Linked DNA regions of Caenorhabditis elegans. The protein of the gene in region 1 interacts with the protein of each later gene in a pairwise test. Each region holds a gene or a part of one and is shown on either strand. Other genes may lie near its edges. The genes, in order: lin-15B, golg-2, C27H5.2 and ifb-2.

The links.
Region 2: the proteins of lin-15B (region 1) and golg-2 interact in a two-hybrid assay, tested with the Caenorhabditis elegans proteins (one large-scale study listed by BioGRID).
Region 3: the proteins of lin-15B (region 1) and C27H5.2 interact in a two-hybrid assay, tested with the Caenorhabditis elegans proteins (one large-scale study listed by BioGRID).
Region 4: the proteins of lin-15B (region 1) and ifb-2 interact in a two-hybrid assay, tested with the Caenorhabditis elegans proteins (one large-scale study listed by BioGRID).

The regions. Positions count from the first base shown.
Region 1 is NC_003284.9:15,724,364-15,732,149, reverse strand, and holds lin-15B (Protein lin-15B), read right to left. Parts: upstream 6,022-7,786; 5' UTR 6,016-6,021; coding exon 5,942-6,015; intron 5,867-5,941; coding exon 5,408-5,866; intron 4,576-5,407; coding exon 4,294-4,575; intron 4,248-4,293; coding exon 4,151-4,247; intron 4,099-4,150; coding exon 2,243-4,098; intron 2,196-2,242; coding exon 1,781-2,195; intron 1,728-1,780; coding exon 654-1,727; intron 605-653; coding exon 539-604; 3' UTR 289-538; downstream 1-288. Other genes in the region: Protein lin-15A, read right to left, coding at 1-175. UniProt on the Caenorhabditis elegans protein: Synthetic multivulva (synMuv) class B protein. SynMuv proteins are required to repress the induction of vulval development. Acts redundantly with SynMuv class A protein lin-15A to negatively regulate vulval development. Regulates let-23 basal activity.
Region 2 is NC_003280.10:5,036,050-5,042,076, forward strand, and holds golg-2 (Golgin subfamily A conserved domain-containing protein), read right to left. Parts: upstream 4,043-6,027; 5' UTR 3,986-4,042; coding exon 3,929-3,985; intron 3,874-3,928; coding exon 3,682-3,873; intron 3,636-3,681; coding exon 3,561-3,635; intron 3,475-3,560; coding exon 3,379-3,474; intron 3,330-3,378; coding exon 2,361-3,329; intron 2,305-2,360; coding exon 1,294-2,304; intron 1,250-1,293; coding exon 932-1,249; intron 884-931; coding exon 815-883; 3' UTR 509-814; downstream 1-508. Other genes in the region: lrr-1 (PIF1/LRR1 pleckstrin homology domain-containing protein), read right to left, coding at 1-1, 52-213, 267-377; F33G12.7 (uncharacterized protein), read right to left, coding at 4,232-4,329, 4,380-4,467, 4,514-4,630.
Region 3 is NC_003280.10:7,153,985-7,161,465, reverse strand, and holds C27H5.2 (TAR DNA-binding protein 43 N-terminal domain-containing protein), read right to left. Parts: upstream 5,886-7,481; 5' UTR 5,784-5,885; coding exon 5,759-5,783; intron 4,416-5,758; coding exon 4,323-4,415; intron 3,600-4,322; coding exon 3,477-3,599; intron 3,434-3,476; coding exon 3,308-3,433; intron 3,216-3,307; coding exon 3,112-3,215; intron 3,047-3,111; coding exon 2,771-3,046; intron 2,725-2,770; coding exon 2,642-2,724; intron 2,593-2,641; coding exon 2,490-2,592; intron 2,443-2,489; coding exon 2,231-2,442; intron 2,183-2,230; coding exon 2,074-2,182; intron 1,958-2,073; coding exon 1,854-1,957; coding exon of another isoform or gene 1,817-1,853; exon of another isoform or gene 1,783-1,816; coding exon of another isoform or gene 1,761-1,782; exon of another isoform or gene 1,457-1,760; intron 1,073-1,456; coding exon 1,003-1,072; coding exon of another isoform or gene 955-1,002; exon of another isoform or gene 852-954; intron 760-851; coding exon 619-759; 3' UTR 505-618; downstream 1-504. Other genes in the region: C27H5.12 (Ferrochelatase), read left to right, coding at 1-118; fust-1 (RNA-binding protein FUS), read right to left, coding at 6,183-6,287, 6,336-6,945, 6,991-7,129, 7,337-7,374.
Region 4 is NC_003280.10:5,748,665-5,754,483, reverse strand, and holds ifb-2 (Intermediate filament protein ifb-2), read right to left. Parts: upstream 4,285-5,819; coding exon 4,221-4,284; intron 3,243-4,220; coding exon 3,049-3,242; intron 2,763-3,048; coding exon 2,641-2,762; intron 2,596-2,640; coding exon 2,236-2,595; intron 2,183-2,235; coding exon 1,763-2,182; intron 1,668-1,762; coding exon 1,617-1,667; intron 1,529-1,616; coding exon 1,451-1,528; intron 1,402-1,450; coding exon 1,378-1,401; intron 1,030-1,377; coding exon 882-1,029; intron 829-881; coding exon 721-828; intron 671-720; coding exon 506-670; downstream 1-505. Other genes in the region: F10C1.8 (LTD domain-containing protein), read right to left, coding at 1-4. UniProt on the Caenorhabditis elegans protein: Cytoplasmic intermediate filaments provide mechanical strength to cells. Not essential protein.

The DNA.
Region 1 (7,786 bases):
TAACAAACTTCATCGCTAGGGCATTGCATTTCTTGTTGAAAGCCATCCGATCGTTCGCCAAGCTTGACATTCGCATAGCATCAACGTTTTTCATTCGAAATTTTCTTTTCGCAATGATTTCTTCTTTTTCATCTGCCGAGACAACATCTTTAGCTGGAGCCGCTGGAGCCAACATTAGGAATCTGAATAAGTGATAGTGTATGATAAGCAAGATAGGAAAGTAAAGGAAAATTGTCATTTGGTGATGTGAAACCATTTGGAAAGAATTAGAAAAAAACCAGTTGGCATCAAATTTCGGTGAACATTTATAAAACTGATATAAAACTACAAAATATAAAAATGATGAGATCATCTCATCATTGTGAGGTTTCAGATGAATGATGATTAAAATAAATAGGTAAAATAAAAGTGGTAATTTTAAGGGCAATCAAAGTAACAGGGTAAAACTATGCGTATGACTTAATCATCAAAAACATCAATGGAGAAAAAATTATATATAAAAACAACAATCAGGAACGGTGGATGAAAATATTTCCACTTATTCGTTGCTGGGTGGTGTGGGGGTTGGCAGCTTATTAGCATCTTTGCGCGGTCGTCCGACTGGCTGAAAAAATATAAAAATAATTCAAAGCATATATTTTTCAAAAACTCACTCTTCCAGCAATCTTGGGCTTTTTAACAATTGGAGATTCTTCATACTCTTCCTCCTCCTCTTCCTCATCAGCAAAAGCAAAGCTTCGTCTAGCAACAGCTTGTCGAATCAATCTTCCACTTGGTGTTTTTTCAGGCACGTATTCGCAATCTTCGCCGACAATTTCTCCGTCTTCGAGTTGTACGTAACCTTTCTTAAGTGCACGTCGTTGAGATGTTCCCGGATTGTAGTCGTAGTCGGTGAGGCTTTTTTCAGCTTCTGGTGTTACACTATTCTTGGGATACTTCCTTGGGCGCCCTCTTGGGTTCGGAGTATGAGCAGGTGGTGTTACCAAGTTAAGAGGTCCATCCTCGTTTGACAACTCCCGCTTTCTATAGGTACGTTTTATCACTGGAGCATTGTTGTAAACTGCTGCTTGACTGGGCTCGTCGTCTGAAGTCTCTTCCGTTGGGGATCTTGACATTTCTTCATATTCCTCTTCTTCTTCTTCTTCCTGAGTATATTCAACACCGTCGGGGTTTAACATATTCGCCAAATCAATGGCTGAATTCTTATCAGTTCCAGACTTGCGCTCTTTGAGTTTGAGGAAGTTGTTCCCTTGAATGATATACGTGGTCTCAACTTTTTCTGGAGCAGCATCTGGAATCATTCCTTTCAAAAGTCTACCACGACTGCTGAACGCTGCATCTGGGAAATGGCTTCGGCAAATTAGGTTTTCCGTATTGGTGTGAAGTCGGGCTTCAAATTCTGGTCCAAGCTTATCCACCCATCTAGCCAAACGTTCCTCACTTCTCGGGACACGAAGCATTCCACCTCGGTCGCCACGTTTCGAACAGAAGCAGCAAACGCCCGGATTGTCGCATTCCTCATTTTCAGACGGTTTGACAGTTGGGAGCTTGAAATCTTCCTGCTCTATAACCTTGACAGTTCCGTCATGCTGATCAGCTTCCAGAACTTGCTTGCGTGGCTGGCGAAAGAGTTTCGGTATGATTTCTTGCTCATCCACATCGTTTCTCTCTGGCTCAGGTTCGGGCTCGCGGTAGTCAAAGTATTGTTGTCCAAGTTTCTTCAATTCCTAAAAACAATTAATTTGTTTCAAAATGTGCAATTTTAAAAACGGAAACTTACCGCTGGCGTTTCACGAAGATGATTATTTCTTTCGGCAAAATCGTGAAGAATCTTTCGAAGTTGTGAAGCAATAATGTGTGGACGGAGGGCGGAAACAGTGATCAATGCGTTCTGAATCAAGTCCAATGGGCAAATCAGAATATCATCGGCAGATTTCAGACGTAGCATCTGGTAGATCTCGTCGAGGGTCTCCAGGAAATGGAGACGGCAAATGTACGTTTTGCTCTCACGCGCCATGAAAAGCTGTGCCTGTCCTAGAGTAAATTCTCCGCGATAAATACAGCCCAACATAATCAACAGCTTTTCATTTTCAATCGTCACATTCTTCAGACGCTCGTGGATTTCCAAGTGACCACATACTGCACAGCGACGGTTGCAAGCTCTGCGCTTCTGGAATTCCATAGTCACACGATGCCTGAAAATTGGAAATGAAACTGAGGTTCAGAAAAAAATATAGGTTACCTTGCAAACGCATCTTCTGCCGATGCGTCATTGAGATTATCACTGTACATAAGCCGTTGAGCCCCAATTAAATTGTCATAGTCGGGTTCTCCGTTGAAATCGTCCAGTGGTTCCAATTTGAAGTCATCCCTCTGTACTTTTCCATTGATCGAAGAAGGTGCTCCTGACTTTTGTTCGCTGTTTGGAAGCCTCAGCGCAGCTCTCATGGGTACAGTTTGGTTGAGCCTGCCTGTGTGGTCTTGTGAGTTCAGTGCATACTTGTGAACAAAATTTTGCTTTTGAGCAAACTTCTGCACAAAGTTGTGTGAATGAATTTTTTGTGGAACGGTGCCTTCACTTGGCCCACATCGGATCAGTTGCGCAGTGGTAACATGGGATCTAGCTTGTGCAGAAGTTGCAGTTGATGGTGATGAGCTTTGCGACGTGGGTAGTTTTGAGGCCAGTACTACAATTTTCCGTGGATACGAAGATGGTCCTTGTGAAGAAGCAGTCGTTCGGTTTGGCACCGGATCAGTTGAAGGATGATTAAAATCGTCTTCATCCAGTGGTTCATCCTTTATTTTCTCCAGCAGCGCTACGTCTTCAGTTTCTTTCTTGATTTCCTTTTCTGGAATACTGCAAACAACAGCTTGAAGTGTGATAGGTTTCGGAGCTGGTGCTTTGATAAACTGTTGTGGAACAGTTGGCCTTGGCACAATTGGCACATTGGCTGGTCTCGGTGGCAACGGCCTCACTTGCAGCGGAATCTGCCTGATTGGAACAGCCTTGAGTTCTTTCCCATTCAACGGGATTGGTCTTCCTTGAGCCAGTGTTCTCGGTGGAGGTGCTGCACGAGGGCGGATGATTGTTGGAGAGGACGTCGCTGGGCTAGATGTACTTTGCAGGTTAGCCACTGGAGGCTTCTCTTCTTCTTTCGGCACGTGTGGAATGTCATAGTTTGCAACTGTTGGCATCGGAGGGTAGTGATGGCCGACAATGGATTGCACATCTCGATCAGAAGAGATGTTGTCAACTCCGTGTGCATAAAGACCAAGGTGAACCTGCTTCTGAAGACGACTTGCAGTGTTATTTAAAGTCTCAATCATTGATTGAGAAATGACATCCACCGATGCTCCTTTTCCACGAAATGTTTGATAGTTTCCAGCAAGTGCCAAGCAGTTCTCGAGGCGTTGATGAGAGTAGGTGTGGCAGATGTGTTGGAATTTTCCACCGTTCCCAAAGTAGTACCCAGCGTCTATAGAAACTGCAGGACTTGCCAAGTATTCACGAGCAATCACCGCCAAGAATTCCATATCCGTCTGACGCATTCCCCACCAATGATTCGAATTCTCATTCTCTTCGGGCCGCTCGACAAATGAAGTTTGACGATAATAAGCAAACTCCTTTTTAATAATATCATAGCGCTGTTCTTGATTCAGGATCGAAATATCTTGATAAAAGTTTTTGTCATTTTGCAGATCAGAGTTTACAAAGTCGTCGATGACTTTTTTCTCGAGCGATCTCCAGGTTTGTGCTGTATAAACCGTATCTCTGTAGGCAAAACGTGGATCCAAAAGAGTAGCAATATCGTATCGATCCTGTGATGGTCCTGAAGTAATCTCTTTGAATGAAGTAGTAAACGAATCGCGGATTCTTTTTTGGAAACGATATCCCATTGAGTTCGATGCAATAAAGTTGCGAATTGACATGATGGCTGGCACAACTTGAGAAATCGAATTGTTCGGTATGCTGAGCTCTCGACAATGTTTCATGCATTGTTGAAGAAGGCGCTGGAGGTATATAAGGTGGTTGAATGTTTCATTGTCAATGTAGTGGAGGATGTCTAATTTTCCACAGAACTCGGTAAACGTGTCGTGCTGAAAAATATTGAGAGTTTATGATTGTTAGGAATTGAAAATAAAAACTCACCCAAACAAGACATCTTGTGAGGAAAATCGCAGTGGAATGCCAGTCGCCAGAGTCAATACTCGGAATGTCGAGTTCCGCATTCTTTTGCAATTGCATTCTGAAATTTGTGGGTTTTATATAAAGGTTAAAAACGCTAAATTTACCTTCTAAATTTGCTATACATATCCGAATTTTGTTTCATATAACGAACAAATGTTCGCAATTGTGTCAGCCCACTGGAAAACTCTTCAATTTCCATCAAATCGGCCACAAAACGGGTAACGTAGTTGTAGAAGCAAACGTTGTATCGTTTGACAACTGCACTCTCTTCAACCAGCTTGCAAATCTCTTCGTTTGGACACACAATGTTCGTAAACTTGACATTTGAGAAGCTGTAGCTGTTGACGGAACGACGAATGTTTGTGAGGAGACTGTTGCTGTCTAGCCTGAAATTATTGCAAATATTTTTAATTTTACGTTGCCATTTTTTCGAAAACAACTTTAAATTTGGGAATAGTAAACAGTGATCACGTACCGGCAATAGCCGAAGTTGCCGAACTCTAAAAATTTCGGCAACCGGCAACTTTTGGTTGCCGTAATTTTCAGTAATTCAGTAATTTTTGGGCAACCGGCAACCAGGTTTCAAAGTTTTCTTTTATTGGAATTATATTTTTGAGCGTTTTGAAAAAAAATTATAGTCGTTTTTTTTCGTTTACAGGGAAATTTTAGCATTTTTCAGGTTCTCGAATGTTTTTTTTTCTGTGCTACAAAATGTTTGACATTGATATCGGCAATTGCCGAAGTGCCGAAAAAACGTTCGGCAATTGCCGAAGTTCCAGAACCCAAAGTTTTTCGGCAACCGGCAATTGCCGAAGTTGCCCAACCTAAAAAATTTCGGCAATCGACAATTGCCGAAGTTGCCAAACGCAGAAATTTTCGGCAACTGGCAACTTGGTTGCCGGTTTTAAAACATGCTTGTGGCACCACAAGGACTAAATATCAGAGCTAAAAAATTCCAATAAAATTTTCAAATTTTATACATTTTTTGAAATTGGAGAAAAAGCTCAGTTTTAGATTTTGGAAATCGCCGATTAAAAACAAAAAAAAACTTCCAGTTTGATGATCTAATTTCCACTTTTCAAATATTTTTCGAAAAGTCTTAGTGTGATATTTGATTGTTTTGGCACAACAATTTCAACTATACCCAAATTTCACAACTACATTTGTTTCATTGATGTTGTGATTTTCAAACTAAAAATTTCCTTCCAAAAAACTTACTCGGTAAGTAGCAATTTCCGCAGATAAATCGCATTTTTGCGCTCGTACAAATCCTCAAAGTAATGAATCGAAAACGCCAGATACTTTTCGTCCTCATCTCCACAAATGTCGATGGTAACACTGAGTGGCCCAACAGTCTTTGTGTAATTGACTTGCGGTTTAGATGATGTGCTGATTTTGTCCACAAGTTTTTTCGTTACATTTGTAGGTGGAATCACACAGTTCGGATCCACGTGTTTCATAAGCTCCAGGAAAGCTGGCTCATGTGCACATTCGAACGGAATTCCTTGGCTGATGAAGAAGCGAGCCATGAGCTCAGTTGTCTTTGGGTCCGCATCAAGATGGTGGGCAGTCTCCTGTGTTGGAGCTGGCAGGGTACGGTGACGTAGAATTCCACTTGCTCTGACTGCTGGTGGGCGATTCACGGCATCAAGCGTCTTTTGAATTGCTGCTGCGCTTCTGAAAAAATATGTTTTGTTGAATGTGGTTGGAATGCATTTGGAATAGAAAATTATCAATCAAGAATAAACGTACATTGCACTGCTACTGCTGGAAGTCGGAATTGATGCCGGGTTTGATGTAAGTCGTGCTGTTTTTAGCGTTTGCATAATTACCTGAAAATATAAAAAAAATAATAAATTATTCGGTCATCATGCAAGGTAATACGTGTAGAAAGACAACAAGTTTAATCAGGAAGTACGGTAGGATACAATACGCTAAGAACAAGATGATAGAATGGTTAAAAAGTCATTATTATTTGAAAATAAAAGTTAACCGAAAAAAAAACGGTGAATATTTGAATTCTACAACTTTTACTTGACTGAAAACTTCAAAATGTTCACTCGAATTCAACGAAAAAAGCACATAATTTTGTGCGTTTATTATAAATTTTCAAATCTGCGTGCGAGAGGAAATACAATGCGGGAACGAGAGAGTAGAGAGCGTGAGGCAAGTGAACCATTTGAATGTGCGGCGGGGAGGCGACACGCAACACGACCGCAACGCGCGGTGTTGCGGGCCAAGCGCGCGCGTTGTGGCAAACGGGACGCTTATCGATTTCAGAGAAGGATGGGGGGGAGACTGGAATAATGGAACCTTGCAATGTGGTTCGAGACTATGGCAGGTGGGCAGGAGAAAATAGACAATGGAGAGGAGATAGTGTTCTAGACAAAATTTGATTTTTATTTAGAAACGTGCAGCGGATTATTAGATTTTATGGCAGCGACGATATTTAAAAAAAGGTTAATTTGTTTTCATAATGTAAAATGACCATTGTGAGTAAAGGAAAATTTTGAAAAGAAAGAAGGTACTTCCGTACAAAAAAATCCAAAAACCTTGCGTGATTTTTCTAAAAAAGTCCTAAAAAGTGGCCCTCGTTTCTCGTGAACTTTCAAAAATTAGGCACAGGAAACAAAAAACCCAGCAAGAAAGATATTTGAAAAGATGAAAACTGTGAAGGACGAAAGAAAACGGTCGGCCGTGCCATCGCGCATTTGAAATGAGAAAGAAAGTCATGCACACTTTCCCCCCTCGTCCTCTCCTCTCTCTCGATTCCGCGCGCTCTTTTTCGCGCGCAACCCAACATTTGACGACATATTGCGGACTTGGGACACTGGCAGACGAAAAATGAGGAAAGTAGAAACGGAGATAGATGGCAGGAATAGTGGACGGGAAAGTGGACGGGAAATTGTGTCACAGGGTGGGAACTTGGAAATATTCGAAATTTTTTGAAAATATTCACAAAAAATTCTAAATGACAGGATAATTGAGTATCAAGTATATGAGACACAAAGATTTTTGACTTTTTTTCCTAAACCTAGTGAAGAAGAATTATTCGTTGTGAAGCCGAAAAAAAAATACAATTTTGTTTTAGGAAAAATAATGGTTCTGATTTTTTTTTTTGCTTGAAATTGAAAATGGCATAGTGAAGTTTTTCAAGAAATTCTGAACCATTTTCTCATGGTTCAAAATTAAACAAAAAGCTTCATTTATATAGCTTAACATTTCCAGTTTTTTCAAGTTATATGTTCTGCAACGACTTGAAGTCAAAACATTTTTTTACATTGAGATTTGGGTGAACTGGGATATAAAACCGACGAAATTCAAGACTTTAGAAAAGTGAACTCTTTTTCAAGTTTTGAACTGCAGTAGGAAATTTTTGGAACTTTTTTCAAAGAGAATGTAGTGTGAATTTTTGTTTTTGAGCAATTTTGAGTTTATTCAAACACAAACTACATAAGCAATACTATTCTTTTTTGCAGGCGGCGCAAAAAGCGTCCCAATATTTCATTTAATTTAAGAAATATTCATTGATGGAGTTGTGGTTTCGATTTAAATTTTTTCAGAAATGTATTTAGATTCTTCTTTATCTTTTTTCTA
Region 2 (6,027 bases), on another chromosome or scaffold:
CCTGAACAATAAAAATTATTATTTTTATATTGAAAAATGCTTTACACGTACTTTACTGATGCAAACCATCACAGCAGGAGTTGTTTGAAATGTGATAGTGGTTTTTCCTTGAGCAATAAATTTGTCGAGAATAATTGGCGGCTTGTTGAGCTCGAATTTATTTCCAGTTTTGTCACCGGCCACGGCCACTGTTATCTGATATTGTGGAGGGGTCTGGAAATATTTTTTTGTTTTGTTACATATTAACTTATGAAAATTTAAATTACCTGTCGAAGTTTTTGCAGAATAACAAATCCTTTTTGCGATTTCGTGGGTTTTGGATTAACTCCGGCATTTGCTTTATAACGTGCAAAAACCACTTCACATGGTAATCGCATTTTTTATTGAAATCTGGAATAAGCAACTATTGGTAGTTTCTTTGTATTTGAAAAGCAAGTCTCTGAAAATCAAAATAAGTTTCTGGAAAATCAAGTTGAACCCGATAAAAGAGCACTGGGGAGAGTTACATTTTAAAGTTTTTACATTTATTCCCAAGAAGAATAATTAACGAAAAAATAAATAATAATTACCATTTGCTTACCAACTAATCGGACTTCAATAAAATTAATAGAAAATTGTCACTTATAAATATCACAAATGAACACAGGAAGTGATTGGGGGATGAAAACGATAATTTAAATAAGTCAGCGGGAGAGTCGAAATTTACAAAAAAAACGGGGACTGGAAACAATAAAGAATAATAATTAGCTAAAAGTTGTACCCACATTATAAGCTAAAAGAAAGTTTACAGTAAAGTCATTATGCACATTTTTATTCAGAGTTCTTGAAGATCTCCAATGCATTGTGTACAGTGGAGTTGTCCAGCGGGTAGAATTTGGGGTCTCTGTAAAGATATATTTGGGAACGATGAATCAAAGAATATTCTACTTACACTGATATCAGAAATAATTTCCAAAATTCGTCTAACAGATGCATCTTGGGTTTGCCCGAAAGTATCACTATTATCTTTGTCAGCAGAACAATCCGATAATCGTGGACTATTTTGAGCTTCCAACACAGTTGGTGGTGGAGTACTTGGAATCTTCTCATCATCACTATTACCATGTACTTTTTCACGCTCTGGAACTTCTTCCAATTTGGCGTCCACCAAAACATCTTCGTCTCCGCTCATTTCATCAACTGTCGAATGGCTATAGCTTCGGGAAACTCGGCGAGCTGCTTTTCGGGAGATTGAGCTTGTCTGGTATTCCTAAAAATTAGCTTGTAGGTATTACAGTTTCATAGATTAATTACCTTTAATACTCCACCTTTGTTAAGTACAGTCATTAACACATTTTGCAGTTCTTGGCATCGTGCAACAGTTTTCGTTCTGTCCTCTTCCATAGCCTTCAATTGTTCATCTTTTACACGAAGCCTTTCACGAACCAATTTTCTCTGATGCTGATAGAGAACAACGTGATCAGCAATTGTGTCATTTTCGAGTTCTAGCTGCTGGTTGATGTGCTCTAATCGATCAATTGTCTCAACGAGTTCAGCATTCTGAAGCATTGCTCGAGCGAATCGTTTCTCTAATTCTTTTCGTGCCCATAGATCTTCATGAAGCTCTCTAGAAGACTGCTGATTTTCAGCTTCTTCTGGAACCTTGGTTTCTTTCAACTCCAGCTGTTCCTGTTTGCTTTCGAGATCTTTCCGTTCTTCCTCTGCTCTTCTATCAGCTCGTTCATCTTCCAATTGTTGACGGCAATTATTAAAAGCTTCTCTGAGTGCTTCATTTTCGGCATGAAGATCCTGAACTCTGCCAACTGCTTGAGTGAGCTCAACGTGAATCGAATTCTGATTCTCATCTTCTGCATTTTGCCTCATTATTTCGTCCATTTGTTCATTATGAGTGTTACTTCGTCTCAAATCAGCACGGACCAGTTGAAGTTCATGAGTTTTCAGCTCTAAATCGGATCTGATTTCTGCATTTTCTCTTTGAAGCGTTGAGATATTTTCTTTCAATTCTTCATTGAGTTTCACGATTTCTTGAGATTCTTCACGTTGTTCTTGACTTGCAGCAGATTCTTGTGATGCTTCGAGATGAGGTTGTCGAGCGATTACTTCTGACAGATTACCAACAAGACCCGCGGTTTCTAAATTCAACTGCTTTGTCAATTCCCGTACTTGATGCTCAGCAGATTGTTTTGCAAGCTCGACATCTGCTTTTTCTTTCGTAAGAGTAACAAATCGGTCTTCCGTTTCCAAGAGACGTTCTTTAAGCTCTTTGTTTTGTGCCACTGCGCGGGATACGGTCGCTTTTTCGTTCTGTAAATTCGAAAATTTGAAAAATCAGGGAAAAATATTGAAAATTGTAAATCTACCTGTAGTTGCTCTGAAAGAGACAACAAATCAGCTCCGTTTGCAGTTGACTCTAACGTTCGTTCTTCCAAAAGTCGATATTTCATTTCAAGTTCTGCCAATGACTGTTCTCTTTCGAAAATAACTTTGTCTTTTTCTAGAATTTCTTCTTCTCTGCGTTTCTGATCATCCTCACTTCTTCGTTCCCACTTCCCTCTTTCAACGAAACACGCTTCACGAATCCGTCTTGCTACATCTTCTTCTGTGATAGTTGGAATTTCATCATGCCTCTCAGAAACATCCATATTCATTTGAAGCTTCTGCAGTTCAGATTGAGCAATTTCGAGTTGATTTTCGAGATGTTCAACTTGATCGTTTGAAGAAAATTTTTGATTATGCAAATGCTCGATTTCTAAAGCCATCTCTGCTTGCTTTTGTTGAAGTGCATACTCTCGATCAGCATAGTGAGCTTTTAATGTCGCAGATTCGACGAGAAGACGTGATTTTTCAGCTTTAACGTTCTCCAGCTCACGTTGCAAGTTTTCATAATTCGTATTCTCATTCGGAATCCCTCCCGGCGGTCCTGTGGCTCCAAGTTGTTTCAAATAAAGATCTTTCATTTGAATGTCTTTCATGAGCTGACTGATGCGATTTTCTTGAGCCGCCGTTTCTTTTATCATACTTTTCACACGTGCTTGTGCTTCACTTCTCTCGTGTTGAACATTTAGCAGGTTAGCTTGCATTGATGCAACTTCTCGTCGAGCTCCTTCTAGCTCTTGATGACGTGCAGTTAATAGGGAATCTTTTTGTGCAATTGCTTCATTGAGTTTTCGAATTTCGTTTGACGAAAGTCCAGATGATGTTGAATTGCTCATTTGGTTGGCAATGTTCTCTGCAGCAGCCAGCTTGTGTCGAAGTTTTTCGATTTGCTTGTTTGCCTGACGAAGATCACTTTGAGACGAAACTTTCTCTTCAACCATTGCAGACAATGCCTGAATACTCCATCATTAAATTAAAATAAATAAAACGAGTAATCCTTACATTTTGGAGTTGGACAATTTGATTTTCTGTATCCACATGTATTCCATTTGCATTGACTTGTGAATAAGCGGAATGAAGTTGGGAGTAATGGGCACACTAAAATGATTTTTTTTTTAATAAAATCATTATTCATATAATTAACGAATTAGTTTTTGTATTTGTCAATTTCTCATTATCCTTACCAATTCGTCATGCTGGGTCTTCAATTGTGTATATGCCTGATACCATTCGTTTCCGTTCGGTTGAAATGGTGAAGCCTGAAGAAAACATTTACTCATTTAACGATGTTATCGATTTTCTCACATCCAATCCATTTCTTGCATTCAAACTTTGTGCAGAAGAAGATGAGTGTGGAATTTGAAGCGCTGTCGAATCTTCACTGACAACGCTGCTCCGTCCATTTAAACCTGCTCCAGCACCCGGCTCTGATGAAATGATACTTGATGCAGGAGAATTACGTCCATCGAGTCTTTGACGTGCTTCAAAGTCTTTCAGCTGTAAAATTTACTCTATAAACTTTGTTTTAATAAAGTTTCCTCACGATTCTCACCTTTTTCCTGGCCGCTGCCAGCATTTCAGCTTTGGCAGGTGCAGCGGCATCGACCATATCACTGATTAATCCAGCTTTACGCCGAAAAACAGTAAAATCTATCGATTTTAAAAGCTGAAAATGAAAAAAGACGTGGAAATTAGTGGTTGGACGCAAACACCGCAATTGACGACATAGCGCAGACAACAAAGCGAGTTCGCAATGAAAGCAGCAGAAATTCACACAAAAAAGAAAAAATAATAGGTTTATGTACAAATAACTAACGAAACTTTGGAAATAAATGCTAAAAAACAACCGAGCAAATTAGAAAACTGGAGGCTTGTGATCAGATGAGACAGGCGAATCGGTTTGCCCCTTGGTGAGCCAGGCAAGAGGTTCTCGTGTGAACGTGCGGTATGCTTCTAGAATTAAGTAGTTGAAGATAACATTTTAATTGAGAATATCAACTCACTAGCCCACTTTGAATCAGGATTGATCTCATCTTGGAAGTAGGCATAAGAAAATATCAGCATGCCTACTCCAAATGCGATTAGGGAGTTCTGGAAAATACTTAATTCGTTTTTAAAATTGATTATCAAAATAGACCTCTCTAAAAGAAAGCTTCTTTCCTCCTTTAGGTAACTGATTTTCCGTGATTTCCTTCCATTCGGCCTGCCCGTCTTTTCTTCTGATTAAAACACGCAAAATCCGAGTCAATCTCATCTGGAACAAAATCTGTTTTATTTTCTGCCTTTTTATTTGTTTTAAAAATTGGAAACGAAAAGGACAAAGCGAGAAGTCAAAGTCTTCCAGTAATTTGATATTTTAGAAGGAATTGAATTGGTCATGGAATTCCGGAAGGGGACAAAATATTTTTAAACGGACATAGGAAATGGGGAATTTTATGAAGCAAAATATATGTTATATAATCGAATGTATTAAATTTGAAAAAAATGTGAAGAAAATTAATAAAAAAATACTAGGAAAAAAAATATCTTCAAAAATTTTTGATGAAAACGCGCCCCATTGGCACTTACTAGAGACACAATACGCAGGAAAACGAAATTTATGAGTACATAGAAGTGAATATTGGAAAATGTTCTTCAAAACTTTTCATGACAGTGTTAAACTGAAAATTAAAAAGAATGGTGATCATAGTAGCAACGAATTCATATGAGATATATGTAAAATATTTAAAAATGAAGGATAAATGAGGAATATATAATTCCCGAGTGTGGAGGGGTACTGTAGGAGAACATAAACAAGCCTATTATCTCTGTATACTGTAAAGCATTAGAATACACAAGCAAATTTGAAGATTATATTTTGGTTATTCGCTCAGTTTTTAAAAATATTTGGAAAAACACTGATACGAGTTTCCGAAATTTTTGAAGACCAATTGTTCAGTACCTAGAAACCTTTCGGAAAAATAATCAATGTCATTACTGTAGTTCTCTGAAAAAATGTGTTATCTGAAACTGTCACTTGCATATAAAATACGACCTTCCTCCAAATCACGCTCTGAGCACAATCGATCTTTCTACTCCAGCTGTGTACATGGACGGACATAAAGGACAGCCGTCAGTGTCACTTCCGCGCCACTTTTTTCAAATGTTTTATGCAAGTTTTTGGTTTAGTTTTGTTTCGAATTTATTCCCAATTGAATTGAATTCGTGACTGCAGAAGAAAATCGAATCGAATCTCCTTTTTAGCGACTCGGATATACCCTGAATTTTTTTTGGAGTACTGTACTATAAACTTTCTCTCCACTTCAGCAATATTTATAATATCCTATAGGAGAACGGCTACTTTCTCGGAACAAAAATATTTCTACAAAACTATTTTTTAATTTTTGCGCAAATGAATTAAGAATTCTCCTTTGGCGGCTGCGGTTATATATTAATTCCAAACTTGTATAGAAAACACACGAAGTGAGGTAAAACCTATTATTATTCAGTTTTTCACTCAAAAATACAGTCCTTGATCTTGCTACGACCGAAATATGTCCGTCGAGTACACGGTAAAGTAGTTTGCGCCTCTAAGGAGTACAGTAACCAACTATGGGTTACTGTAAGACTTATAGGCGCATACATTTTTAACAGATTCAATTTGAGAACATT
Region 3 (7,481 bases), on another chromosome or scaffold:
TAACGCTGTGTTTGATAATGAAATAATTCTGGACAAGATTTTGAACAATGTATCGAAAGATGTTTTTCCCTTGATACCGTTAAGGGTATGGATTTGTATTTCGAGTTCAACTTGTTGAAGAAAATATTCAATACACTCAACAAAATAGAATGCCAATCAATTGATTAAATGCTTCCGTTGTTAACCTTTTTCAATTACGTGCCTTTATATATTTTATTACTTTCAATTTATTCATAAATATAAACGTATTTTCTCGTTTTTGATTTGATTTTACGATGAAAGGTGGCTCAGTTTTTCCCATTGATAATTTTTTCTTAGTCAAACTTCTGTGCTGCTAAAACTATTTTCAGTCCTTCCCATTCAACATTAATTTTTCCAGCAAGAATTGTAGTGAAAAAACACAGTACTTCTCATTATCAAGCAATTTTTAGACCTAGCACTAGCCCAAATCAGTATAGTTTTTGTACCGATAAAAATTAAATCATATATGTAAACTGTTCATACTTTTTACAAGTCAGTGAAGAAACTCTTTATTACATACTCTAAATCTACGCCGTTATTTTTTAGATAGAAACTGAAGCACACTCGGATTATCATCAAATATTTTCATCGAATTATTTACAAAAGATCTGAAATTTCTCTGCGTGAAGCTGTGGCATCTGCTGCCAACGAAGAAACAAGCACATTGAGCTCAGCAACTTGACTATCCGATTCTGCGAGTCTTTCTTTCAAAACTCTCACTTGACGGGCTAGATCTTCCTGGAATAGTCGGAAATTGAATATGTTAGATATTTGAAATTATTTAAAGCGAAGCCATGCAAACATAAAATCAGCTTTTCACAGCAAAAACATGAAATAAAAATAATTTATTGAGAACTTAAAATAATCAGATATGTGTCGTGATTTTGTGAAATTGATTCATAATGAAATGATAAGCCAAATGGGTTTTTTTAGTTAAAAGCGAATTGAAGACGACAGACGATGGACTGGACTGCCGCTCACCTGAGCTTTTATATGCATTGCATCGGAGAGACGTCGAACTTCATGACGTTCATGTTCCAATTCTGATACTCTGTAATTATTCAGATTTAACACTCTTGAAACAATTAAATCTCACAACTATTATTAAACTTTGCAAAAATATTCATAAATTTTCAATAGTTTTCAGCTACTACAATTTTGGAAGTTTACCAAAAACTGTCTTTTCTACTATTTATATTTTTTTTAATGTTCAAACCTAGTAGAGCTTTGATAATCAAGAATGCCCTATAAAATGTCCTTATAAATTTCTCAAAAAGTCCAGGATTTTGAGACAATTTGCCAAAACTTTGACAAAAAGTTTTCAAAAACTGTGCTGGAATGGAAAAGTGGCCTATAAAATAACAGATTTTTAAAATGATATTGCAGTTGATTCTCCCATTTAACGGTATTCCTTGCTATTGAACAAAAACGGTTATGAATCCAAAAATTTTATTCATTTTAAAACTATTTACAAATACGAAAACTGATTAGGGTTGAGCATAACCGAGAAGGAAAACCGTTAAACGGAAGAAACCGGAATTTTTTGGGAAAAAGTGAGATAAAAGGAATATGGATCAAAACGTTCCAGGTACGTTGGAAGGAAACGAAAATTTGTGCATTTTCAGGGCATTCAATCAATTATTTTGGTTACTTATCAACTGAGACTGTTAAGATTTCTTTCAGATTATGGTTTAAAAATAATAAAAATATTCGAATTATCAATTACCAAGTCTACGAATCTACCAGTCCCAGATGACGTTTCTGAATTAAAAAATAGAAAAAATGCAAGAGTGATCTAGATAAGAGAATACTCGAGCAGAGGATCAGCTGACCTTCGAGCATTTTCTGCTGCTTCCCGGGTTGCTGATTCAAGAATTGATTGAAGATGGACAAGTTGTTCACGTAGAGATAACACTTCTGATTCTGCTGCGTATTTCTGAAATTAATTAATTTCTTTGGCATAAAATAACTATTAAACATTAGAAATGGATTTCTAACAGTCTCTTTTTCATCCCGCCCAATTTCGATTCAATTTTTTAAGTAGAAACTTACAACTTTATCCCAATCTTGTTGTTTCTCTTTCAGTTCTTTTGCCCAATTCTCATTCACACAAGCGAGTTCATCATCAACATGTGCAAATCTTCGTTCCAAATCTTCGTTTCTAAATTATAAATTTTCCAAAAATTTGTAATAACTCCATCAATCTAACCTATTCCTTAATTTAGCATTTTCCTCGAAAACCTCTGTATGAATACTTTGCATCTGTTTATGATTATCTTTTGTTTCTTCTGATTGAAGTTTCATATTTTCATTTGTTTTCCGAAGTTCCTTATTTTCCTGAATTGCGTGAATAAACGTTGGGATATTCTCATAATCCTCAATTCCAGCTGCATCTGCGAATGGTCTCAATTGATCCAGTTCCTGAAGTAGGTACATTTTATTGAAATCTGAATAACAATTGTTCTTACTTTTGACAAAATATCCTTTGATGAAGTAAGCATTGATATAGTATCAGACATTTCTTTTATTCTATTGTGACTTGTTTCAAGTTGAGCTTTTAGTCCGTGATTTCTGAAATACTAGTGAAATATGGAAACGTTTGCTATTCACCTCCACTTACTCCTCCTCTACATTCATCAATTTCATTTGCAGCTCGGTAACATTTTCCTCCAAATTTCCAGATTTTCGGTTCAACTCGCTGATCTGAAAATTATCAATAAATATTTGAAACTGGAAATCTTTGTCTTACAGTATGCCTCGACTCTTCCAATCGTTTTAATGCTTCACTGACCATTTCCAATTCCTGCTGTTTGCAATCAACCATCGCATTTGCTTCAGATAAATTTGTCTCGGTCTCCTTCAAGTTTTTTTCCAAAATTCGTAACGTTTCATTCATCTTTGTGATTTCCTGTCGATTGGCATCAATAATCTGATCTTTCGCAGTTGAAATACGGCATAAATCCAAAAATTGTTGTTCCAATGGGCTTAGTTCTCTTCCAGCGGTTTTCAACATTTGTGAGCGTTCCTAAAAAATTGATTTTGTGAAAACATCTTTTTGTGAATAAAAATGTCAAAATAAAGGATACCTACCTCAATTGCTTGAATCGGATCAGGGGTTACTGTAGATGATGAAGTTGATGAAGCTGTTTCACGAGAAGAAGTGTGTTGGCGCTTCTTTGTAAGATGGCTCATATCTCAAAGAGCAGTTTGTATGTTTGATTTCAGGAATAAATTGATTTCATATGGTAAAAATTATGAAAATTATGTGCTGAATGACCCTTCTCACCTATTTTCATTCCAGAAGCCAACATCATTTTCTGCACTGCTTGCACACTTTTTTCAAATTGTTTTGTGGCGTCGCTGTAAGAAGCAGTATGTCCCGAATTTCCAGCAGCTGTATGACATCTTTGACCTAAACAAAGTTGTTTGCGGTATGTCCTTGTGGTAAATCTTACTCAAAGTCACAAAGTATTCTCGATCATTCCATGCTCCGCCAGGAGCCATAAACTTTTTTCCATCAAATTTCACTGATTTCTTGCATGAGTCACCGATTTCTCGGTAGTACATCCCAGAACATCCTGTAATTTTTTTTCCTATTTATTTTCATTTTTTCTCATTCTCTCCAGTTCCTGCTGCTATCAATTTCTGTAAAACCCTTGAGAAAATATACGGATCAATAAGACACAGACTGTAACAGATAAGAAAAGCTTCTTCTTCTCTCTCTCTCTCTCTCTCTCTTTTTGGGCGCCAATTCTTTTGCAATTATTCGCATACTTTGCATACATGTTGATTCGATTTGATTACATTGAAATAAACCAAGAAAAAGGTTAGCAGAAATGAGAAGTGATAACAATTCTATGGGTGAGGTGACATGTTTGATGCCTACATCAGAGGGGTGTGTGGTAACAAAAATAACACGGACTGTTCCGCTATTATCTATTTGTCTTGTCAGCAGAAATTCACGTGAATCATCAAAAAATGATACAGTTTGTGTGTTGTCAAATGAAAACATTCACAAAAAGGAAAATTCAACAAGAATTTGGAAATTTCTGGCTACAGTACCTACAGTGTACTCGTGTTGATTGTTATTTTGAAAAAAGTCACAAAAATTATGAAAAACTGAAGAACTGTCTTCTTTCTTCTATTAGCTTCTCGGTTGTCTATGATTTGATTAAAAATGTTTTACAACTGCCAAATCCAAATGTTCTTGCTATTTTTTCTAGAAGTTTTTTGTTTGACACAAGCCTGAATGCATCAAATTAAAATGCATTATCTTCTTGTGTTCCGTTACAGTAACCCACCTGGAAATGCAGTTTGAAGTGAAGTCCACAAGATACCAGCATCTTCATCTAACTCTACTTCAACAGGTTCCACCCCGATTCGAAGAGATTTAACTGCAAACATATCTATTTTACTTTTAAATATCTCCCATCTTCCTTCCGTTTTATTACTTGTTTGATTAGATATGAAACCAAATTATATAAGTAGTTACGGGTATTGAAGAAGATGAAATTGTGTGGGGCAAAAAAATGTAGGCAAACACAAATTTTTTCAAGTTTTTGATTCGAAACACGATTCGTAGGTCATTGGGTAAATAGGCAAAATATCAACTGAAGATATAGAGACTCAGACATTGACATGACCGAATAAGCTCATTGTGCCGGAGAAAAAATGAGGAGAAGGACAAAAGAATTGAAAATGTTTAAAGAGCTTCTTGTTTCTATGTGTTTCTATGTGTGTTTTTTGAGTTTGAAAAATTAAAAAAATGAAATTGAAAGCGAGGAGAGTATTTATATAAAATAAACCACACAAAAAAAATTAAAAATTGAATTCCTATTATGCACATTAGAATTTTCGCCATATCTTACGTGCATGGGTCTCGCCACGCGGACATCGAGTTACTGTAGCTCATATTAATTTATGGACCGAGATTGTATCAACCTTTTCAAATTAAACGAGGTACTGGTGGCGGAATTGTATTAAACAAAAATATGATGTAATATCTACCTGTAAGTTCTAACGAGTTACAGTAACCCGTTGTCAGCGTGGCGAGACCCATGTTCATTAACCATTATCAAATAGTTTCAATAGGAAAGTTCAAAAACAAAAAAACTATTTTCAAAATTGAATACTTGTGCAACTACATAGATGTAATTATTGAAAATCAAACAGCTGTTGTGATCAAGGGTGTCAATGTCCCGTAAAAATTTCGAAAACGGGACAACGGGAATTCCCGTTCCCGTGAAAACACCCCAAAAACGGGACAACGGGAAAAACGGGAAACGGGAATTGACACCCTTGGTTGTGATTAATGCGCACGGATATATTCAGATGGGTCTTGGTGTGCGAAAAAGTTTATGGTAGTCTGCTTTTGGATTTTAGCGACTGCGTTTATTTTCAATAAAAACTACTGGTTATTCAGAATCAGATTTAAAATTATAATGAAAATTAATTTAAAAAAAACTACCATTAACTTTTTTGCGCGCGAAGACCCATCTGAATAAATCCGTGTGCCTTTGTGAAGGCATGTCAGAGTCTATTTAAATTACGATGTAACTTTCTACGTTTTTATCTTCAAATTAAATGTTCGTAGAGCCTATCAATCATAAAGTTTAAGAACTATACTTTAATTCTGAATCTAAAATAACTTTCATTGATAGTTTTATATTTTTATTCTGAATATGCGAGAATAATCTTACTAAAAATCTATTCTCATAGCGATTTCTTCGAATCTTACCTTGTAGTCCTGTAATACTGCTCATTAGTCGGTCGAAGTTTCGAACGGACAGTCTCTCCCGGGTAAATTGGAAGAATGAGAGGTGGGCGCCGAGGCAAAGGGAGGTCGAGACGAAAGAGATGGAGAAGCAGATAGTGTGACGTAGAGATGAAGTGCGGAGAGAAAACAGACAGTGACACGCAAAGCAGCTGATGGGTAGGGAAATGCGGACAATTGCAAAAAAAACAGATGTTAATGTGCAAAAATTTTTATTTTCGTTAAAAATAAAAAGTGGGAAAAAATGAAATATAAAAAGAACATTGAAATTTGAATGTATCGAAGTAGAATATAAAGGTGGATATAAAATTGTTACAAGTCTCTCACATTGAAGAGATCAGAGAATTTAAATTAGATGTTAAAATTTATGGGGAGACGAGTTGATGGCTCAATATGGACGGTATCGGTCACCTCCTGGTGGTCCTCCTCGTCGCTCGCCACCACCACCTCCGGATCCTCCATCTGGTCTCGGGGCTTGGCATTGATTGCATTCCTAGAAGAAAACCCGTGTTTTTTTTTTGAAAAAACAAAATTAACTAACTCTTCTGAAAGCGAAGTTGCTATTTCCGCACTGCTCACATGGCCAGTCATTCTTCCTTTGTTCCATATTAGCATTTCCGCCACCTACTCCACGGCCTCCTCTGAATCCTCCACGATCGCCACCACGGTCGCCGCCTCGGAATCCTCCACGATCTCCTCCGCGGAAGCCTCCTCTATCACCACCTCGGAATCCTCCTCGGTCTCCGCCACGGAATCCACCGCCACCACCGCGACCACCATCGAATCCTCCACGACCACCGCCGCCGCCATATCCTCCACGATCACCGCCAAAGCCACCACGTCCTCCCATAGGACCACCACGACCACCTCCGAAACCGCCTCGTCCACCACGACCACCTCGTTCACCTCCTGCATCAGCGCGGAACTTGGCTAGTGAAATACTCATCGGGCTTGAGCCGCCAGGGAATGGTTGCCCATTGTACATAGTTATAGCTTGTTGAGCTGCAGAAGCATCGACGAATGTTATCATGCATTCTCCTTTTGGTTCTCCGGTGTTGCGATCGGTGTAAATCTTGATTCTCGGTCCGCGATCGTTCTTTGCAATATCTCCGCAGGTACTGAAGACGTCGGCGATGTAGGCTTCATTTGCACTGAAATATAGATACATTTTTTAATTGGGCGATTACAAAACATACGTGGTGGAAATTCCCTGCACAAAGACGGTCTCCTTCAACTCAACTCGCCCATCGGATCCGAATTCGCGGTTTCCTGAAGCAGCACCACCGCCTCCGTATCCTCCTCCACTTGGTGGTCCGTCACGTCGGGGTCCTCTGTCTGCAATGAAAATATGAAAACTTTTACAAACAATTTTTTCGTCCAACTGTCAATAATATAAAGCACAGGAACAAGTATTTTTATATTCGTTTAATGTTTTTTGTTTTTGAATTTCGATGATAAACTCGGTAGGATACCCATTTTTTTTTAATTTTGGTAATAAACTCGTTGTGGTACGAAAGATAAAGCAATTTACGTATTCAATACCTTGATAACCTCCTCTTCCTCCTGGAGGTCCGCCCTGTCTGCAAAACATCATTCTTGAATGGAGTCTTCTGTCTTCTTCTCTCATGCTAACACCACAGTAAAATGTTTTCAGATTTCGACCGCGCAATAATACACCTTCAATTGA
Region 4 (5,819 bases), on another chromosome or scaffold:
GCATTTTCCCTTAGTGCTGAAAAATATATGTACAGCTTGCAACGTGTTCAATCATTTCCAAAAATTCTGTAGAATGTATTTTAATGTAGTCTCAGTCAAGAGCGAGTCACGACAACTCGGTTCAAAACCACTCCTAATTTTAATTATTATTACTATTATAAAAAACCTTCGAAAACCATAACTAAATGGCTTAAAACAATTGTCGAAAAAAAAAGCGAAAAAAATTTTTTTTAGAAATGGTTTTAGACCGAGTTATCGTGACCCACTTTTGACCAAGAAATTTTTTTTGGGAAGTATCGTGATAAGTACACTTCTTTTAATCATCAATGATTTTGAACTAAAACAATATTGAACAATTTATTTCAAAAAACAATTGGATTGGAATGTAGCAAGTATGTACGTCGAATGATTTTGGGAGTGAAGACAGCAAGGAAAGGATTCAATGGGCATTTCAGAATAAATTTAAATTCATCGAAAAAGAAATCGATTAGATGATGGAGATTTCTTAACGGGAAGAAGCGACCGTCGTCTGGATGTGCGAAGCCTTCTCAATTCCGTGACTATTGTACAAGAATGTTTCAACTTGTCCTCCTTGTCCCCATGATGGGTGAGATTCCATCACAATTGAGTCTGGTGGTGAGTTAATTCCTCCTGAATTGCGTCCGTAGATCTGTAATATTCCGGTTTCAATATGATATCTAATTTTATAATAATTAATACCTTAAGATGTCCGTGTTGTTGAATAACTAAGTGAGATGGGAGACGGAAAACGAAGGCTTGAACTCCATCAATAACACGACGGATTTCAAAGTTGCTTACATCTTCGGCCTGCAATTTTCCAATTTTTCATGTTCAAAATAAAAATAAAGATCTAAACTCACAACTGATCCACTGGTGTTTTCAAGAATGATGTACTTTCCTTGTGGATCGCACTCAACGATGCTCACATTTCCCTTAGCGTGTCTCTTGAATGAGGAACGAGTTTGAACCTCTCCAGAGTCCCAGTGATCTTGCTCGACTGGTACCAATCTGTAGAATTTAATATAACAATTTAAAATTAACGGGGATAGATTAAGCTGAAAGTGCATGTTTTCAGCTAAAAGCCTTGAGATTTGCTGACTAACAAAAATTGTTAGCCAAGAAAATGATAAATAGGTGATGTGAAAAGTAAGCAGTGTGTTGAGATAAGGAAGTGCGTGAAAAAGAGAAAAAGTGCAAGTGAAAGAGCATGAATTGTGAAAGCAATTAGCTATAAACTACTGTATCACTACGAGTAACCTTTGATCTGAAACTAGTACATTGGTACCTCTGCCAATTTGATGTTGAGATGATCTATGAAAACTATACTATGAATAACTAATCTACAATCTAGGATACCTTAAAGTTCCTTGCGGATACACTCTGAAAGGTATTACATATAATATATCTTGATTCTATTAAAGATTCCTACTCAGGATATTGCTGATATTGATGACTGTCAGAGTATTGCTGATCATTTAAAACAACGGGAGTGGAATCCCCTTCTGTTCTGGAAGTCAACTAGGAAATAAAACTAGATTCTAAATATCTACGTGTGCAGTATGTTAATGTCTATGAAGCGGTTATAGCTACCGAACCTTGTAGTCTCCTGCTGGGCGACAACGACCCCCTGTCCAACATGAGTGAATCTGTGAAAGTAAGGAAATGATAAAATGGAAGAATGAGACAATCAATTAAAGTATATGTTGCTCTTTTTGAGAGATATTTTTGTTACTTATATTACCTTCCTTCCTCGGACTCGACAAGCTTTCTGTAGATGGCAATCTCAGTATCCAAAGTTTGTTTGGTGTTAAGAAGAGCTTGAAGTTCAGCAATCAAAGTCTGGCAGTCTTCACGCATAAATCGGAGGGCATTGTCTCTCTTGTGAAGCTCTGATTCGTAAGCTCTTTGATCTTCTCCGAGTTGAATCTGGAGTGTGTTGGCTTCTCTCTCCAAAGCAGAGTTACGGGCTTCGAGCTCGCTGAGCTTGGCTCGCAATGTGGTGATGCTCTCGTTCATCTTTCTGATCTCCTCTTGACGGAAAACGGCAGCCTCGTTCTTGGAGACGATTGATGATTCGACGGCGCTAATCTTGCTCTGGAAGATTGTCTCAAGATCAACTCTGGTGGTTTGGATGATCTTGTCGTATTCAGCCTTGATTTCTCTGAAATAATTTAAATTAGACAATAAAACTATATCATTTTTTTTGAATCCAACCTGATAGCAAGAGCCAATTCATTCTTGAAGAACTCTCTTGTGTCGGCTGGAGCTTGAGCAAGAAGAGTGCGAAGCTCAGTGATTTCTTGAGAGTGGATTCTTCCCAAGAATTCCAGCTCAATCTTGAGGTCATCTTCCTCAGCTTGAAGGCGGCGGCGATCAACAATTGCGGCGTCAAGCTCATCCTTGGCGGCAGCCAATTGAAGATAGAGTTGATCTTGTTCAGCATAAAGTCTCTTTTCCTCGTCCAAAATGGCGGCATAGCGGGACTTGTTTGTGTCAAGCTCAGCTTGTGCTTGTGAAATAGCTCCTCCCCAAGTGGTCTTCTCACGCTCAACTTCACGACGGGCCTCTTCATATCTGAAATATTTGCCATTAGAATGGAATATGCAAATAAATTGTTACCTGTGTCTGTAGTCATTCAAATCATCTCTCAATCTGTCGACCTTAACTTCAACTCCAATAGTTCCAGAATGAGCTTCTGAGATCTCACGGCGAACTTTGACCAACGAATCGTTGAATTTGAACTACAAAACGTTGAGTTTATTATTCTGATGCAACATTATTAACCCCTCAAGATCAATTTCAATTAATTTTATTGGCAATCTTAACACACACATACACACCCATTTCCTCCAGAGCACTACTTGTCATCTTATCAGTGCCATTTTCAGTTTCTCTTTTAAATTCCTTACGCCTGCACATTTGGCAACGGGCGCTTTGTTTGAGAAGAATTGATATTATCTGATAAGAGAGAAATTGTGTCAACAACTAAAAGTGTTTCAGATTCTCCTGTAATTTCGGGGCACAAACCTTGATCTGTCCGATGTCATTTCCAAGTGATCCTCGGAGGGTGTCCAATTCAATCACAAGCTCCTTGTTACGATCCTCAAGTTGACGGACACGGCTGATGTAAACTTCAAGGCGAGAGTTCAACTGCTGCATCTCTTGCTTCTCGCGCTCGGCAGAGGCAACGAACTCCTCAGCGGCATGGCCGGCTGAGACACCTGAAATATTATGTAAACTGTGTTCCGATGTTTAAGCAGTGCTCCAAGAAGGACCATATTTTTTATTGTTATAAACTAAATTTTGTGAAAGTGTCTTATTGTGAAGGGTTTGGAAAAAGCAATACAAACTCATTTTTTAAAAATTAATTTAGTACGAATATGTAAAACAAAAGTCTGAATAAACCTCTGTTTTCCAAATTTTTTCACAATATTAAAATAGAAATTTTAAAAAATAGAGTTAGTTACAGCTAATGTTGTACTTTGAGATTTAAGATATACAATTTTCCGTGTTATATACCGTTTTTCCTATTAGTCTTGCACTCCCACTGCTTCATTTTGACAGCTCATATTAATTGTTGTAGGCTTCATCAAAATTGTTTAATTATAACAATGTAGAGTGATTTTAGTGTTGAAAATTATTTGATGAAATAATAACAATCGAGATATGATTTGTCAAAGTAATGCAAAGCAGGAGCAGAGTAAATTGGTTAAATGTGGCATATTTATTCTTTTTTTTTCACAATTTGGGCTAGCAATCAGAAAATTCCTACTTATAAGAGTGATCTATCTTGTCATAAACAATCTGATTTTTCACTGAAAAGTATTATATGCTACCATCTAGGAACAGGCCATTTTGCAGTTTGTCCCTACGCTGCAGTTCTCGTCTCAATTCTTTATTGATATCGTGAATTAAAAGTTAAGATCGAGTTTAATTTGTCGAAACTTATGGTTTTATTTAAACATCAGTTATTTTAACTTAAGCCCATAATCTAGAGAAACTGCTAGGATTAGTCGGCAATGTGTGAAAGGAGTTCACAACGGTGTCAATAAAGCCGACAAAGAGATTTGAAACAAAGAAAAAGATTGAGACAATGGAGGAGATCAATTTCAGACAAACTAGTGTCACCATATTATGGATTCCTCGGAGAAAACTCTCGAGGTCGTGTGACTGTTGGAAATTTGAAGAAAAGTGCTTACCTCCGTGTGATGAGGAGGATGTAGTTGTGGTGGTTCTGTGCATCGAATAACTAACCGCCGACATGATGAAGTCGCTAAAATTTTGAAAATAAAACAAAAGATGTTAATAACAAAAGAAGATAAAAATAAATAGAATAAGAAAACAATGTTATTTTCACACTTTCAGCAGTTAAAAAACCAACACCAATAATAAACGTTCAATCTTCAAAAAAATAAAGAGTCTTAACACCAAACCGTACAAAACGCGGAGTAGTAGGTTTGATTTTACAATGGCATTTTGAGAGAGCAAAGAAAGAGGGTTATCAGTTGGCAATGCTCGATTCCACTCTCTTTTATGGTGACTTATCAGTCCGAGTTTAGAGATGGAAAACGGAGGGGAGGGGGTGAAAAGAAGAAAAAAAGAAACTACTCTTTCTTACATTCTTTGTATTTATGAAACAAAATGACATTTGACTGGGAATGATGAGGAAGTTGACATTTGAAAAAAGGTGTTAAGAACCGCAAAGTCTGAAACTTTTTACTAGAAACTATGACGAATGAAATGTTAATAAGGTTACAACAGAACATAATCGGCAACAATGGAATATTTCAGAACTGAAACATTTTGTCTTCTAGATTCCTTTCAATTTAATTTTTAAGGATTTACAAATTTATCTGGATTTAATTGACAGAATATTTTCGCTTGTATTGTCATATTCAAAAATGTTTAATTTTAAAAATTCTAGAATTTTGAAGATGTGAAGGTTCAATCAAAATCTCTTCATCAATTCAATTCTCTCTTAAACTGTAATTCAAAAGCTACAAGTATTTCCTGAAAAAACTTTGTTTACTCTTGTTGTCTACTGAACTTGAGGTGTCTTATCTTAAAAAGACCATCTGTGTTATTTTTCACAAAAAAACAGCTACAGTAATTCCTTAAAAGTTCATCGCAATAATTTGATAACAACAAAATAGGTGAATCTTGCAACAGTGAACGAATTCCCTTGTAGGCACAAAAAACTCGAAGGTTACCTACGCGCTGTCTTGTACCTCTAGATTTTGTGCCAAATTGCAGACGAATATAACTAGGTAGGTAGGAAGACCTACCTACCGGCGGAGCGTAACTTTTCAAGTGTTCTGGTTAACATTTTATTCTGATTAAAGAGTTTTGTGAGTCATAAAACCCTTGCTAAAAAGTTCTTAAAAATTGTGCATTTTCGAAATTGAAAAAGCATCGAATTGAAACTATGATTGGAATTCCAAAATAATTCGAAACATCGCTTTAATTATTTAACCTTTAAAAAACTAAAAATCAACCACACCTCTTCTTTTTCAAATATTAAAGTCCGCGAGCTGCTAATCAGCATGAATTGGAATTTTGAAATTTTTGGAAATACAGTGTTTTGTTTTTTTAATACAATTCTTCCGTTTATGCTTCTTTCTCATTTTTGTGGTCAATTACTTTATAAAATTAGCCAAAGTATGAATACCAAAAAACAGGATGTTTAAAGAATTTTGCTTTTGGTATTCTCTACAACTCCATACATCTTGCTCAGTCCTCACGACTAGTCTTTGTACTTTCATTCAAACTTCATTTATCGTGTTCTTCATTTCGCATAT